Linked DNA regions of Stegostoma tigrinum. The protein of the gene in region 2 interacts with the protein of the main gene of each other region in a biochemical or structural test. Links are inferred from orthologs where the notes say so. Each region holds a gene or a part of one and is shown on either strand. Other genes may lie near its edges.

Evidence for each region. The genes of interacting proteins can lie anywhere in the genome.
Region 1: the proteins of flt4 (region 2) and vegfd form a complex in vitro, tested with the Homo sapiens proteins (2 studies listed by BioGRID). The link is inferred for Stegostoma tigrinum from reciprocal best matches to the Homo sapiens genes FLT4 and VEGFD.

Annotation. Positions count from the first base shown.
Region 1 is NC_081365.1:76,200,061-76,207,428, reverse strand, and holds the start of vegfd (vascular endothelial growth factor D), read left to right. Parts: upstream 1-4,149; 5' UTR 4,150-4,180; coding exon 4,181-4,306; intron 4,307-7,368. UniProt on the Homo sapiens protein: Growth factor active in angiogenesis, lymphangiogenesis and endothelial cell growth, stimulating their proliferation and migration and also has effects on the permeability of blood vessels.
Region 2 is NC_081366.1:12,011,434-12,018,467, reverse strand, and holds the start of flt4 (vascular endothelial growth factor receptor 3), read left to right. Parts: upstream 1-3,841; 5' UTR 3,842-4,021; coding exon 4,022-4,079; intron 4,080-7,034. UniProt on the Homo sapiens protein: Tyrosine-protein kinase that acts as a cell-surface receptor for VEGFC and VEGFD, and plays an essential role in adult lymphangiogenesis and in the development of the vascular network and the cardiovascular system during embryonic development.

The DNA of each region.
Region 1 (7,368 bases), on a different chromosome or scaffold from region 2:
GCGTGGGTCAGTGGATAATGTCTGCGTCAGTCGGTAATGCCTGCGTCAGTGCGTAATGTGTGGTTCAGTGGGTATTGGGTGGAAGATAGTGGGTAATGTGTGGGTCAGTGGGTAATGTGTGTGTCAGTGGGTAATGTGCGGATCAGTGGGTATGGGGTGTGAGAGTGTGGGTAATGTGTGGGTCAGTGTGTATGGGGTGTGAATGTGTCAGTAAAGTGTGGGCCAGTGGGTAATGAGTTGGTCAGTGGGTGATGTGTGGGTCAGTGGATAATGTGTGTGTCAATGGGTAATGTGCGGATCAGTGGGTATGGGGTGTGAGAGTGTGGGTAATGTGTGGGTCAGTGTGTATGGGGTGTGAATGTGTCAGTAAAGTGTGGGCCAGTGGGTAATGAGTTGGTCAGTGGGTGATGTGTGGGTCAGTGGATAATGTGTGTGTCAATGGGTAATGTGTGGGTCAGTGGGTATGGGGTGTGAGTGTGTGGGTAATGCGTGGGTCAGTAGGTGCTGTGAGTGTCAGTGGGTAATGAGTCGGTCAGTGGGCATGGGGTGTGAGTGTGTGGGTAATGTGCGGGTCAGTGGGTGACGTGTAGGTCAGTGCATATTGTGTGGTTCAGTGGGTATTGGGTGGAAGATTGTGGGTAATGTTTGTGTCAGTGGGTAATGAGTGGGTCAGTGTGTATGGGGTGTGAATGTGTCAGTAAAGTGTGGGCCAGTGGGTAATGAGTTGGTCAGTGGGCGATGTGTGGGTCAGTGGGTAATGTGTGTGTCAGTGGGTAATGTGTTGGTCAGTGGGTATGGGGTGTGATTGTGTGGGTAATGTGTGGGTCAGTGGGTAATGTGTGGATCAGTGGGTATGGGGTGTGATTGTGTGGGTAATGTGTGGGTCAGTGAGTAATGAGTGGGTCAGCAGGTATGGGGGGTTAGTATTGGTAATGTCTGGGTCAGTGGGTATGGGGTGTGAGTGTATGGGTAATGCGTGGGTCAGCGGGAAATGTGTGGGTCTGTGGGTATGGGGTGTGACTGTGTGTAAGATGTGTTGGACAGTGGGTATGGGGTGTGTGAGTGTGGGTAATGTGTGGGTCAGTGGGTAATGTGTGCAACAGTGGATAAGGTGTGGGTCACTGGGTAATGTGTGGGGCAGTGAGTAATGTGAGGGTCAGAGGGTATGGGGTGTTAGAGTGTGGGTAACGTGTGGATCAGTGGGTATAGGGCCTGAGTGTGGGGTAATATGTGAGTCAGTGTGTAATGTGTGGGTCAGTCGGTGATGTGCGGGTCAGTGTGTATGGGGTGTGAGTGCGCGGGTAATGTATGGGTCGGGGGATGGTGTGTGTGTGTTGATTATGTTTGGGTCAGGGGAATGGTGTGTGAGTGTGTCGGTAATGTGTGTGCTGGGGGATGGTGAGTGTGGGTAATGTGTGGGTAAGTGGGTAATGTGTGCAACAGTGGATGAGGTGTGGGTCAGTGAGTAATGTGTGGGGCAGAGTAATGTGAGGGTCAGTGGGTATGGGGTGTTAGAGCATGGGTAACGTGTGGATCAGTCCGTATAGGGTGTGAGTGTGGGGTAATGTGTGAGTCAGTATGTAACGCGTGGGTCAGTGAGTAATGTGTGGGTCAGTGTGTATGGGGTGTGAGTGTGTGGGTAATGTATGGGTCTATGTGTATAATGTGTGAGTGTGGGGTAATGCGTAAGTCAGTGGGAATGTTGTGTGTGTGTGGGTAATGTGGGGGTCTATGTGTACGGACTGTGAGTGTGTGGGTAATGTGTAGGTCAGTGGGAAATGTGTGGATCAGTGGGAATGCTGTGTGGGTGCATGGGTAATATGTGGGTCAATGGGTAATGTGTGGGTCAGTGGGAAATGTGTAGGTCAGTGGGTAATGTGTGGGTCAGTGGGTAATGTGTGGGGCAGTGGGTAATGTGTGGGTCAGTGGGAAATGTGTTGGTCATTGGGTAATGTGTGGGTCAGTGGGTACAGTGTGTGAGTGTGTGGGTAATGTGTAGGTCAGTGGGAAATGTGTGGATCAGTGGGAATGCTGTGTGGATGCATGGGTAATATGTGGGTCAATGGGTAATGTGTGGGTCAGTGGGAAATGTGTAGGTCAGTGGGTAATGTGTGGGTCAGTGGGTAATGTGTGGGGCAGTGGGTAATGTGTGGGTCAGTGGGAAATGTGTTGGTCATTGGGTAATGTGTGGGTCAGTGGGTACAGTGTGTGAGTGTGTGGGTAATGTGTGGGGCAGTGGGAAATGTGTGGGGCAGTGGGAATGGTGTGAGTGTGTTGGTAATGTGTGGGGCAATGGGAAATGTGTGGGGCAGTGGGAATGGTGTGAGTATGTGGGTAATGTGTGGGTCAGTTGGTAATGTGTCGGTCAGTGGGTATGAATTTGTATACACATCTGTGGTCCAGTGGGTAATGGGTGGGTCAGTGGATATGGGTTGTGAGTGTGTGTTTAATGTGTGGTTCAGTGGACAAAGTGTAGGTCATTGGGCAAGGTGTGTGAGTGTGTGGGCAATGTGTCAGTCAGTGGATATGGGGTGTGAGCGTGTTGGTAATGTGTGTGTCAGTGGGTAATGTGTGTGTTAGTGGGTAATGTGTGGGTCAGTGGGTAATATGTCGGTCAGTGGGTATGGGGTGTGAGTGTGTGGGTAATGCGTGGGTCAGTAGGTGCTGTGTGGGTCAGTGGGTAATGTGTGGGTCAGTGAGTAACGTGTGGCAGTGGGTATGGGGTGTGAGAGTTTGGGTAATGTGTGGGCCAGTGGGTAATGTGTTGGTCAGTGGGTGCTATGTGGGTCAGTGGGTGATGTGTGGGTCAGTGGGTAATGTGTGGGCCAGTGGTTAATGTGTGGGTCAGTGGGTAATGTGTGGGTCAGTGGGTACTGTGTGTGCCAGTGGGTACTGTGTGTGAGTGTGAGGGTAATGTGTGTGTCAGTGGGTGATGTGTGTGTCAGTGGGTAATGTGTGTTTAGGTGGGTACTGTGTGTGTCAGTGGGTAATGTGTGTGTCAGTGGGTAATGTGTGGGTCAGTGGGTAATGTGTGGGTCAGTGGGTGATGTGTGTGTGTGGGTAATGTGTGGGCCAGTGGGTGATGGGTGTCAGTGGGTGATGTGTGTGTCAGTGGGTAATGTGTGGGCCAGTGGGTGATGGGTGTCAGTGGGTGATGTGTGTGTCAGTGGGTAATGTGTGGGTCAGTGGGGAGGGGGTGTGTGGCTTTGGTGTTTTGTCATGCTGTGAGTGCAGTAGGGCAGCCAGCAGTGCGGGCTCGGACTGAAGTCTGGATCCCATTTAAACCATATGCTTCTGCAGTTTCTGAGGGGGTCTGATGCGTCACAATATTTGAGACAAAGTGTGTGTGTAGCTCTGTGCGATCGACAACTCCGGGATCTTTTAGAAGATGTGCTCCCATTCCATGCTTTCAAAGTGAAGGATGGTGAACGTAGCTGGAAAGTTCCGTCACTTCTTTGCTGAAGATTACAAAGGAGAAAGTTGATTTTAGCGCCAGTGAAGTAATCACTTCTTTCTTGCTTTGTTTTCGGTGTCTGAGCTGAATCTGAGGATTTCACATGATTGATGCTGGAATGCACAATGTTCTGTGGATCCTTTTCCTGGAACCTGGCTCTATTGTCTGCACTGGATAGCAATCTCAGTTTTGTCATTTGAATCCCAACCTTTCCGTTCCATGGATCCTGACACAACTTTCGCCTGGAATATGTAACGAATCTGCTGCAGATCACAATGCTTTGCTTGAAAATTGTGAGACAGTTTCAATAATTAGACTCGAAGAACTCGCATACTGGTGAAGCAATGTAATGCTGAGCTGTTTGTATCCGTCGCTGTAAGGTTCTCCCAGTCTGATGAAATAGAGATCACCGCAGTGACAATTAACTCTTTAGATCAAAGGTGTCAGAATGAAGCTGCCGTCCCGTGTCTGTGTGCATGTCATCATTTTGTCACTTCTCCATCTTTTGCAGGGTGTTTACGATGAACGTGACTCCAGACTGGTAGGTGAACTTCTGTCGCTGCACCAATTCCTGTCGCCAATCTCATTCTGAACAAATATTTGTCAACGACCCTGATTGAAAATTTCTCACACTTCATGCGCTGCATCGCACGCATTCCTGTCCGAATATATAAGGAAGTCAGCAGCAGATTTATATGACTTGCTGCTGGACTCCTCTGGGAACTCATGTGTTTTGCATGTTGTGGAGTTGTATCTGAGTTCACAGAGTGTTTTTTTAAAAAGTCACAGGAGGAGGCCATTCAGTCCATCAAGCCCAGATCAGTGCTGTTACTCAGTGCCGTTAAAAATGAGGTATTCTTATTTTAATGGTTTTATACTTTTATAGGATGTGCGTGTCACTAACAAGACCAGTGTTCATTACCCACCCCGTAACTGCCCTTAAATGCAGTGCCTTTGGTAATTTTGCGGACTGGTAAGAGTCAATCACATTGCTGTGGGCTTGAGTCACATGTAGGCCAGACCAAGTAAGGACAGCAGATTTCCTTCAGCAAAGGGTATGAGTGAACCTGACGGGTTTATATCACAATCGGTAGTTGTGTCATTGGTCACCTTTACTGAGTTGAGCTTTCAAATGACGACTTAATGAATAGAATTTAAATTCTACCAGCTGTCAAGTTGGGACTTGGTCCCATCTCCCATAAGATCATGGTAGCGAAGAAGGCATTTGTTGGTCAATGCATTGAGTATATGGGAGTTGGGAGGCCACGTTGCAGCTGTGCAGGACATTGGTTAGGCCACTTTTGGAATGCTGCCCTCAATTCTGGTCACCCTGCTATTTGAAGTATGTTGTGAAACTTGGAGGAGTTCAGAAGAGATTTACGAGGATGTTGCCGAGATTGGAGGGTTTGAGCTACAGGGAGAGGCTGAATAGGCAGGGGCTGTTTTCCCTGAAGTGTTGGAGACTGAGGGGCGACCTTATAGAGGTTTTCAAAATCATGAGGGGCATGGGTAGGGTAAATAGCCAAGATCATTTTCGCCAGGGTGAGGAAGTCCAAAACTAGAGGGCATAGGTTTAAGTTGTGAGGAGAAAGACTTAAAAGGGATCCAAGGGGTTAAAATTTTGTCAGAGATAATAGGAACTCCAGATGCTGGAGAATCCGAGATAACAAGGTGTAGAGCTGGATGAACACAGCAGGACAAGCAGCATCATAGGAGCAGGAAGGCTGACGTTTCAGGCCTAGACCCTTCATCAGAAAGAAGGGTCTAGGCCCAAAATGTCAGCCTTCCTGCTCCTATGATGCTGCTTGGCCTGCTGTGTTCATCCAGCTCTACACCTTGTTATAAAACGACCTGAGGGGCCACTTTTTCACACAGAGGGTGGTGCTTTTATGGAATAAGCTGCCAAAGGAAGTGATGGAGGCTGGTACGATCACCATATATGAAAGGCATCCAGATGGGTATATGAATAGGAAGGGTTTAAGAGGGATAACACAGTGTGGAGCTGGAGAAACACAGCAGGCCAGGCAGCATCAGAGGTGCAGGAAAGCTGATGTTTCGGGTCAGACCCTTTTTCATTTCCAGCTCCACACTGTGTTATCTCTGACTCAAGCGTCTGCAGTTCTTGCTATCTCAGCGTTTACAGGGATATGGGCCAAATGCTGGCAAGTGGGACAGGATTAATTTAGAATATCTGGTCTGCATGGATAAGTTGGACCGAAGGGTCCATTCTGTGACTGTCTGGCATAAGAACAGACCTCACATGCAGTGTCACTCAATGGAATCATGGCTGATCTGATAATCCTCAGCTCCACTTTCCTGCTTTTTCCCCATAAACATTTGATCTCTTCCTGATTAAAAAAAAACTCGGCCTTGAATATACTTCAACAGCGCTCTGCACAAAAAGAATTTCACACGTTTATAAAACATTTGAGAGAAGAAATTCCTCCTCCTCTCTGTCTTAAATAGACGAATCCTTATTCTGAGATTGTGCAGAGTGGTCCTAGGATCTCCCACAAGTTGAAACAACCTCTCCACACCTACCTAAGCTCCCTAAGAATCGTTGTATGTATCAATAAGACCACCTTCTCATTCTCCTAAACTCCATTGTGTACAGGCTTGACCTGTTCAACCTCTCTTCAAAAGGCAGGCAGTCCTTTCAAAGCTAGGATTCCTTTACTCATTCACAGGATGAGGGCATCACTGGCCAGGCAGCATTTATTGCCCATCCCTAATTCCCCAGAGGGCAGTTCAGAGTCAAGGACAGTGCTGTGGGTCTGGAATTGCATGTAGGCCAGCAGTTTCCTTCCCTAAAGAACATTGGTGAGCCAGAGGGGCTTCTCCCCCCACAGCAATGGACTCATGGTCATCATTAGACTCTTAAATCTAGATTTTTATTGAATTCAAATTCCACCATCTGCCAGGGCAGGATTCAAACCCAGGTCCCCAGAACATTATCTCGGTCTCTGGATTAACAGTCTAGTGATAATACCACTAGGCCACCGCCTCCCCATGGATGAATTCAGTGATTCTTTTTTGGACTGGCTCCAATGTCAACATATCTTCCCCCTAGATCGGCGGGGGTGGGGTGGTGATAAAACACTTTGCAGTATTCCAGCTAAGGTCTAACTATGCCTTGTATAGATTCAGCAAAACAAGCATGACTCCCGCTTTGTGAAGCCAATGCTGACACTGCTTGATCATGCATTTTCCTAAATTCTCTGCCCTTACATCCTTCATGATAGATTCTAACATTTTCCCAATGGCGGATGTTATACTACCTGGCCTTTTGTTACTTTTTTTTCAATCTTCCTTCACCTTTTAAATAAGGAGCTTCCCAATCCTCTGTGACTTTTCCCAACTCTAAGGATTCCGTGAAGATTACTACCAGTGCATCCATTATCTCTGCAGTTCCTTCCTTTAATATCTTTGTATTGATCTTTAGTTCCATTATTTTCGCCAGATTTTTTTTCTCTAGTGACGATTATTGTATTTGCATCTTCTCTTCGTTTTATCCGTCAATTATTTTGTAATTTTGGAACGCTATCCATCTCTTCTACCATGAAGACTGATGCAGAGTATTTATTCAACACCTCTCTCCCATTCCTTGTTCCCCATTATTATTTCCGCAACCTCCTTTGCTAAGTGGCCTATATTCACCATTCTCTATCTGTTCCGTTTTATGTATTTAAAGAAGGTCTTACAGTCCAATTTGATTGACTTGCTACTTTATCCTTAAAGTTTATTTGAACCCTTTTTACGTTTTTTTTGGTGTTACTTAGTTGGTTTTAAAAACTTTCCCCACTACCTGTTTTACCATTAATCTTTCTGTGGTTTTCCTTCAATTTGATGCTATCCTTTGCTTCCGTTGTTGGTTTATTCCCATCCTAGAATTCTTCTTTTTCACTGGAATATAT
Region 2 (7,034 bases):
TCTGAAAGTTCAAGTTCTATATCAGTAGAGGGCCAATTTTGATAGTAAGAGGCAAGAACTTTCAAAAGTTGATGGGGGGGGTGGTGTGGATGTTTGCAGATAATGAGAATGGCTGGAAAATGGGAAGCCTTCAAAAATAAGTTAACGAGAGTCCAGAAACAGTATGTTCCTGTTAGGGTGAAGGGCAAGACTGGTAGGTGCGGTGAATGCTGGGTGAGAAATTGAGGTTTTGGACAAGAATAAGAAGGAAGCATATGTCATGTATAAATAGCAGAGATCAAGTGAATCCTGAGAAGAATATAAAAGCAGTAGGAATATACTTAGGAGGGAAGTCAAGAGGGCAGCAAGGGGACATGTTAGCTTTGGCAAATAGGGTTAAGCAGAATCCAAACCACAAATATATTAGGGACAAAAGGGTAACTAGGACAGAATAGGGCAACTTAAAAATCAGCAAGCCCACTTATTTGTGGAACCATAGGAGATGGGGGAGACACCAAACAAGTATTTTGCATCAGTGTTTGCTCTGGAGAAGGATATGGAAGACAGAGAACATGGGGAAATAAATAGCAACATCTTGAAAAATATCCAAAATACAGAGGAGGAGGAGCTTGATGTCTTAAAATGCATAAGAGTGGATAAATCTCCAGGACCTGATCAGGTCTACCCGAGAACTCTGTGTGAAGCTAGGGAACTGACAGCTAGGTGCCTCAGATATGTGTATCATCAATAGCCTCAGGTGAGGCAGCAGAAGACTGAATGTTGGCTGAACGGTGACCTTATAGAAATTTACAAAATCATGAGGGGCATGGTTCAGGAAAATAGACAAGGTCTTTTCTCTGGGGTGAGGGAGTCCAAAACTAAACAGCATAGGTTTAAGATGAGAGGGAAAGATTCAAAAGGGACCTAAGGGACAACATTAAAATGCAGAGGGTGGTACACGCTGGGAATGAGCTCCCAGAGGAAGTGGTGGAGGCTGGTACAATTGCAACATTTAAAAGACACCTGGATGATACATGAATAGGAAGAGTTTAGAGGGATATTGGCCTAATGCTGGCAAGTGGGACAAGATTTATATAAGATATCTGGTTGGCATGGACAGGGGTCTGTTTCCATCCTGTATGTCTCTCTGACTCTATAACTGTCCACTTGTTGTGATATGGTCTTCCAGTGCACTTTCAACTCTCAAACTTTAATGAGAGAGACTTCAAACCAAGACAGGTCAAAGGATAACAAAGTGTGGAGCTGGATGAACACAGCAGGCCAAGCAGCATCTCAGGAGCACAAAAGCTGAGAGAGCCCTCTGATGAAGGGTCTAGGCCTGAAACGTCAGCTTTTGTGCTCCTGAGATGCTGCTTGGCCTGCTGTGTTCATCCAGCTTCACGCTTTGTTATCTTGGATTCTCCAGCATCTGCAGTTCCTCTTATCACAGGTCAAAGGATATTGCTTTTGAGGAATGTTATCTCCGACCGTGTTCAATTTTAATATCTTTCCCTGCCACAGTCTGGGTCATGTGAATTCAATCTGAACGTCTTTCTTGTAAAAGCTCTAATCTGTGACTACCTCCCCATATGTGCTACGCATGTTGTCCTTTGCTGCATGGATGTACAGCAGTGACCCAAGATACTGCTAGAATTCCAAAAGCGGGACCTCAAGCATGTGCAGCTGAAGACACTTTCTGGGATCATCTGGGAAGCATGGTATGTCCCTGACTTCACACATACTGCAGGATCTCCAATCTGCCTGTCCCATCTGACTTAGAACATAGAACAATACAGCGCAGAACAGGCCCTTCAGCCCTCAATGTTGTGCCGAGTTGCCATCCCATAACTCTGAAAACCTCTGTTATCGTTAGAATCAGTACTAGCCTCTGAAAACATAAGAAGCTATTGTTCAGGAAAAGAAGGGTAAAACACTCAGGATTTAAACTAAATAACCAACTTTCACTTTAAAGATGAGAAAAACTAAAAATCAGCTGCTTTCCCGGCTTCAGGATGTCACACTGCTGTTGGTTTAAGTACACATAAGCCCCTTGATCTCCACCTTATTTCCTTTCTCGGTCATCCCTTTCTCTGAAGACTTTATTCCTTACAGTAAACCTTAATTCAAACACGTCTCCTTCCCCTCTTTCCCGCATCCCCCCCACTCCGGTCTGCCCTGAATTCCAACTTGTACCCAAATTCCCAGATACTCACTTCTGTCTCTGTCTCGCTCAGGTGAAATCTCCTTCATGCTAACCTTGCAGCTTCTTCTGACCAAGTGACCATGCCCGGTCAATTATATTATAAATTAATATTTTGAATAACATATTTCCATTACAATGCATATCATTAGTTTTAATATTTCTACTACTACTTATTGGTGAAGTGGGGATAACAGGCAGGAGATAAGGTCCAGGATGTTTCGTTATAATTCAATCCCTATTTTAAAGTCATAAATTCACTTTTTAGTATATAATTGATTTTATATTATTTACATTAAAAATATTAGCAACTAATGAAGTAGACAAGAACTGGTACACTTAATTGTAGAGAGCTGGGGAGTATTACTGAACAAAGGGACCTTGGGGTGTAGGTTGACAATTCCTTGAAGTTAGAGTCGCAGGTAGACAAGATGGGCAGAGAAGGTTTTTCTGTACACTAGTCTTTGTTGGTCAGTGCACTGAGTGTAGGAATTGGTATGTTACATTATAGCTGTACCGGACACTGGTTAGGCCACTTTTGGAATACTGCACTCAACTCCGATCTCCCGATTACAGCAAAGACGTTGTTAAACTTGAAAGAATGCAGAAAAGATTTACAAGGGTGTTGCCAGGGTTGGAGAGTTTGAGCTACAGGGAAAGGCTGAATAGGCTGGGGCTTTTTTCCCTGGAATGTTGAAGGCTGATGGGTGATCTTATAGAGGTTTATAAAACCATGAGTGGCATGGATAGAGTAAATAGACAAGGTTTTTTCCCTGGGGTGGGAGAGTCCAAAACTAGAGGGGCATAGGTTTAAGATGAGAGGGGAAGAATTAAAAATGGACCTAAGGGGCAACTTTTCCACGCAGAGGATGATGCATGTATGGAAAGAGCTGCCAGAGGAAGTGGTGGAGGCTGGTACAATTACAACATTTCAAAGGCATCTGGATAGGTACACGAATAGGAAGGGTTAAGAGGGATATGGGCCAAATGCTCGAAAATGGGACGAGATTAGGATATCTTGTCAGCATGCACGATTCGGACTGAGGGTCTGTTTCCCTGTTGTATGCCTCTGTGACTCCAGCCAGTGAACTTTGGGGTCTGAAGATAAAGATCAACAATATCAGGGTTACAGCGCCATCAGTGGTGGAAGGCCATAATTACAGCATGACAGGTTTACATAGGAAATATTTAGTCTAAATTTAAACCTAAGGAGTTTAAGGGGAAAATAGCCTGGAAGTACAAGAAGAACTCGGTTTATGCAGGCTGGTGTATTTAAATTTAAATTCTTCGTTGTTAGGGATATATTATAACAAATAATTAGAATCCTACCCGAATCTGGTTAAATACTGTTTTGTCTTAATGCGGTCTCAAATATAAAGGGATTTTAAAGATGAATACGTTTGCGATTTGTGAATCGTACTCGATAGGTGAAGGCGCTAGACGTCTGGAAATTTTCACCAAAAAAACTGTGCAGAAGTTCAACTCTTGTTGGAGATCAGGGAATCTGGAGAATCTGTTCAGATTAAAACGAGGGAGGGGAGGAAGGGAGAGAGAAAAATACTTTTGTTTTCCTGCGGGTTGGTGGAAGTGGCGAAAGGGTTGCAAAGAGGAAACGTATCTCACTTGATGTTAATCGTTGCACACATTTCCTTCAAACAATTTCCTTGTGGTTTCCACGGCTGCTCGTCCCCGGAGCTGCTCGGAACTAAATCTCAGCTTGTACCTGACCCACGGGCTCTGAGTTACACGTGTGTCTGCGAGAGAGAGGCAGAGAAGAGGAATTTAATATTTTTCATTTCTTTGATCGGAGACTTCAAACACTCCAGGATTGGACATCTAGAAATGAAGAAAGCTTTTACCTTTTCTGTCTGGATTTGGTTTGTAGCCGTGTGTAAATCAGGTAGGAGTCAGTGTTTGCTGAAGGTTCGAGCTGCGGATTGTTTGAGTGTTGTTGAGGCAGGCGAACTGTGGAGATGTTTGAAATGAAGTTGCACCTCCGAGTTGGATTGTAAATTGCTCTTTTTTTGTGTGTGGGAAACCTCTGTAGATTTGGACTTTGAAAAGTTGTGGCTGTCCTTCTGAGTAATACCTGAAGGCTGATAGGGGAGTGTTCACAAACTCAGAATTTACGAAATGCTGCAAGGATCAGTGTGGAGCCTCTTGTGTTTAGCGTTTAGCTGCGCTGTAGCAGGTAGGACGGAATCTATGTTGTAGCTTGCTCTTGGGGATGTTTTATTGTAGATTTCCCCATTTGCAAAGAAACCTTCTTCGTCTTGAGACACGTTATTTTGTTGCATTGATTTGTTCCGTCATATAAAAGAGACCGGGGTAACTCGCAGCTGATGACACGGGACAGAATAGACCTGGGGGTTTGTGCCCAAGAAAACCGTGTGAAACCGAAAAGAGATTGGGACTGATTGAGAGCAAGCTTCAGCTTTGTATCAACTCCAGTCTGCTCCCTGTCCTGAAAAGTCTGCTAGCAGGGGAACTTGAGCTAAGCGTTCATTTTTCAGTATGTTTTGTCCTCTCGTGTTTGAAGTTCTTTCCATATTTGACTGCAGTTTACTGATGGGAAAGCTCAGGAACTCCTAGCTCGCAGGTAAACTGTTCCAACATTGAAGATGGGCTTTGCTCCCGTCTGCACATAACCCCGGGTCACCAGCAATTACAGGGTCTTAAACAGTCACCATCTTCCGTAAATTATCTCCAAAGACTGTCATTTAAATTGTATGAAAACAATATTTCAATCACCACTATCGGGTTATATTGAGTTGGAGTGAATTGACGATTTTTGCTTTCCAAGTCGACACGGTGTGAGTGTAATGAGCTAAGGATACTGGGAACTCCATGTGAATTGGACGAAGTTTTCAAGATATTGATGAACCAGATATGCTGGGGATTGGAAATGAAACTGGATTGAAATTCCAATTCCACATCACTAGGCAATGAATACACCATCGTACTTCTCTGATCTCCCCCTCCTTGTCCACCCCCTCCTCCCTAAACCACTTTCCTCTCCCCAGCCCCCTGGCCTCTCCAGTAAAGGTTCAGACCATCAAACTCTTATTGAGTGTTCCTTGGAAAGAGTGAGAAGGTTGAGCCATTTGAAGTTGGGATCATTCTGTTCCAGCTGAGCTCAGATTACCTGCTTTCTGTATTAGCCTGGAGCTTGCTTTGTTCTGAATTAAAACTGTGGGATTAGTATAGTCACACGGTGAGGACTCTCTTCCCATTGCGCTCCAGATATCTGCATCTCTTCCCTTTGATTTTGAGCATACTATATTATTTCAATAATTCCCAGGATGTGGGTGTCACTGGCTGGGCCCAGCATTTATTGCCTGTCCCTAGCTGCCCTTGAGAAGGTGGGGGTGAGCTGCCTTCTCAAACCGCTGCAGTGCATGTGCTGTGGGCTTACCCACAATGTCTTTAGGGAGAGAATTCCAGAATCTTGACCCAGGAACATTGAAGGAACAGTGACGTATTAGGAGAGTGAGTGGCTTGGAAGGGAACTTGCAAGTGGTGATGTTCCGATATATCTATATACAAAGATATGAACATACCAAACTTGAGTAGAAGTGGACCATTCAGCCCCTCTGATCTGCTCTGCCATCCAAATAGATCATGGCTAATTGGTTTACATTTCAGATTCCATGTTCAGATTTCTCTCCTGGGAACCCTGGGCTGTCCTGCATAACAAAAATCTGACTTTAAAATGACCCTGCATCCACCACCTTCTGAGGCAGGGAGGTTCAAAGTGAAGAGTCACTGACCCAAAACGTTGAGTCTGCTTTCTTCCCACAGATGCTGCCTGACCTGCGGAGTTTCTCCAGCAATTTCTGTTTTTGTCTTTTGCAGCGATGCACTGGGCTGCCTATTTTTGGGAATAGCAATATTTCTGGAGACAGCTCATTCTGTCAATTGTTTAACAGTCCACCACCATTCAGGACTGGATGTGGCAGGACAGCAGATATATGATCTGAACCTTTGGTTGTGGAAACACTTAGTCTTGTCTGTCACCTGTGAAGGAAAAATGACAGAGTTAACGTTTCGAGTCCAGTGACCTGAAACATTAACTCTGTTTTCTCCTCCACAGATGCCCGACCTGCTGAGCTTTTCAAGCAACTTTGTTTTAGTTCCTGATTTACAGCGTCCGCAGTTCTTTTGGCTTTTATTTAGTCTTGCCTATCAGTTGCTCTTCTCCTATTTAGCGTGCAAGTGCTGCTGTATTGACTGCCCATTTTTAAATAAACCTGGTGACGCTCCTGGTATGACCTCTTGCACCAATTCACTGAACCAGGGTTGATCTCCTGCCCTGATGGAAATGGTGGAAGTGGGTAGACAGTTGCAGATTATGGTTGAGTAGAATTCTGCTGCTGTTAATGGCCTGGAGTACCTCATGGATGGCCAGCACTGAGTTGCTAGATCTGTTCTAAATTCATCCCATTTAACACAGCATGTTCCAATGCAATCATCAGAACTCCCCCCGCAATTTCTCAAATGCTATCAAACATTCGCATTAGAATCACAGGTGGGCCACTCAGGCCTGCTCCACCATTCAAAAGGATCTTGTTTTGACCTCAGAGATAGGAGGAACTGCAGATGCTGGACAATCTGAGATAACAAGGTGTAGAGTTGGATGAATGGAACAGACTAAGCAGCGTCAGAGGAGCAGGAAAGCTGACGTTTCTGGTCCAGACCCTTCTTCAGAAAAATTCATTTCTTCATTTTTCTGAAGAAGGGTTTAGACCCAAAACATCAGCTCTCCTGCTCCTCTGATGCTGCTTGGCCTGCTGTGTTCATCCAGCTCTACACCTTGTTATCTCTTGATTTGACCTCGAATTGATTCACTCACCAC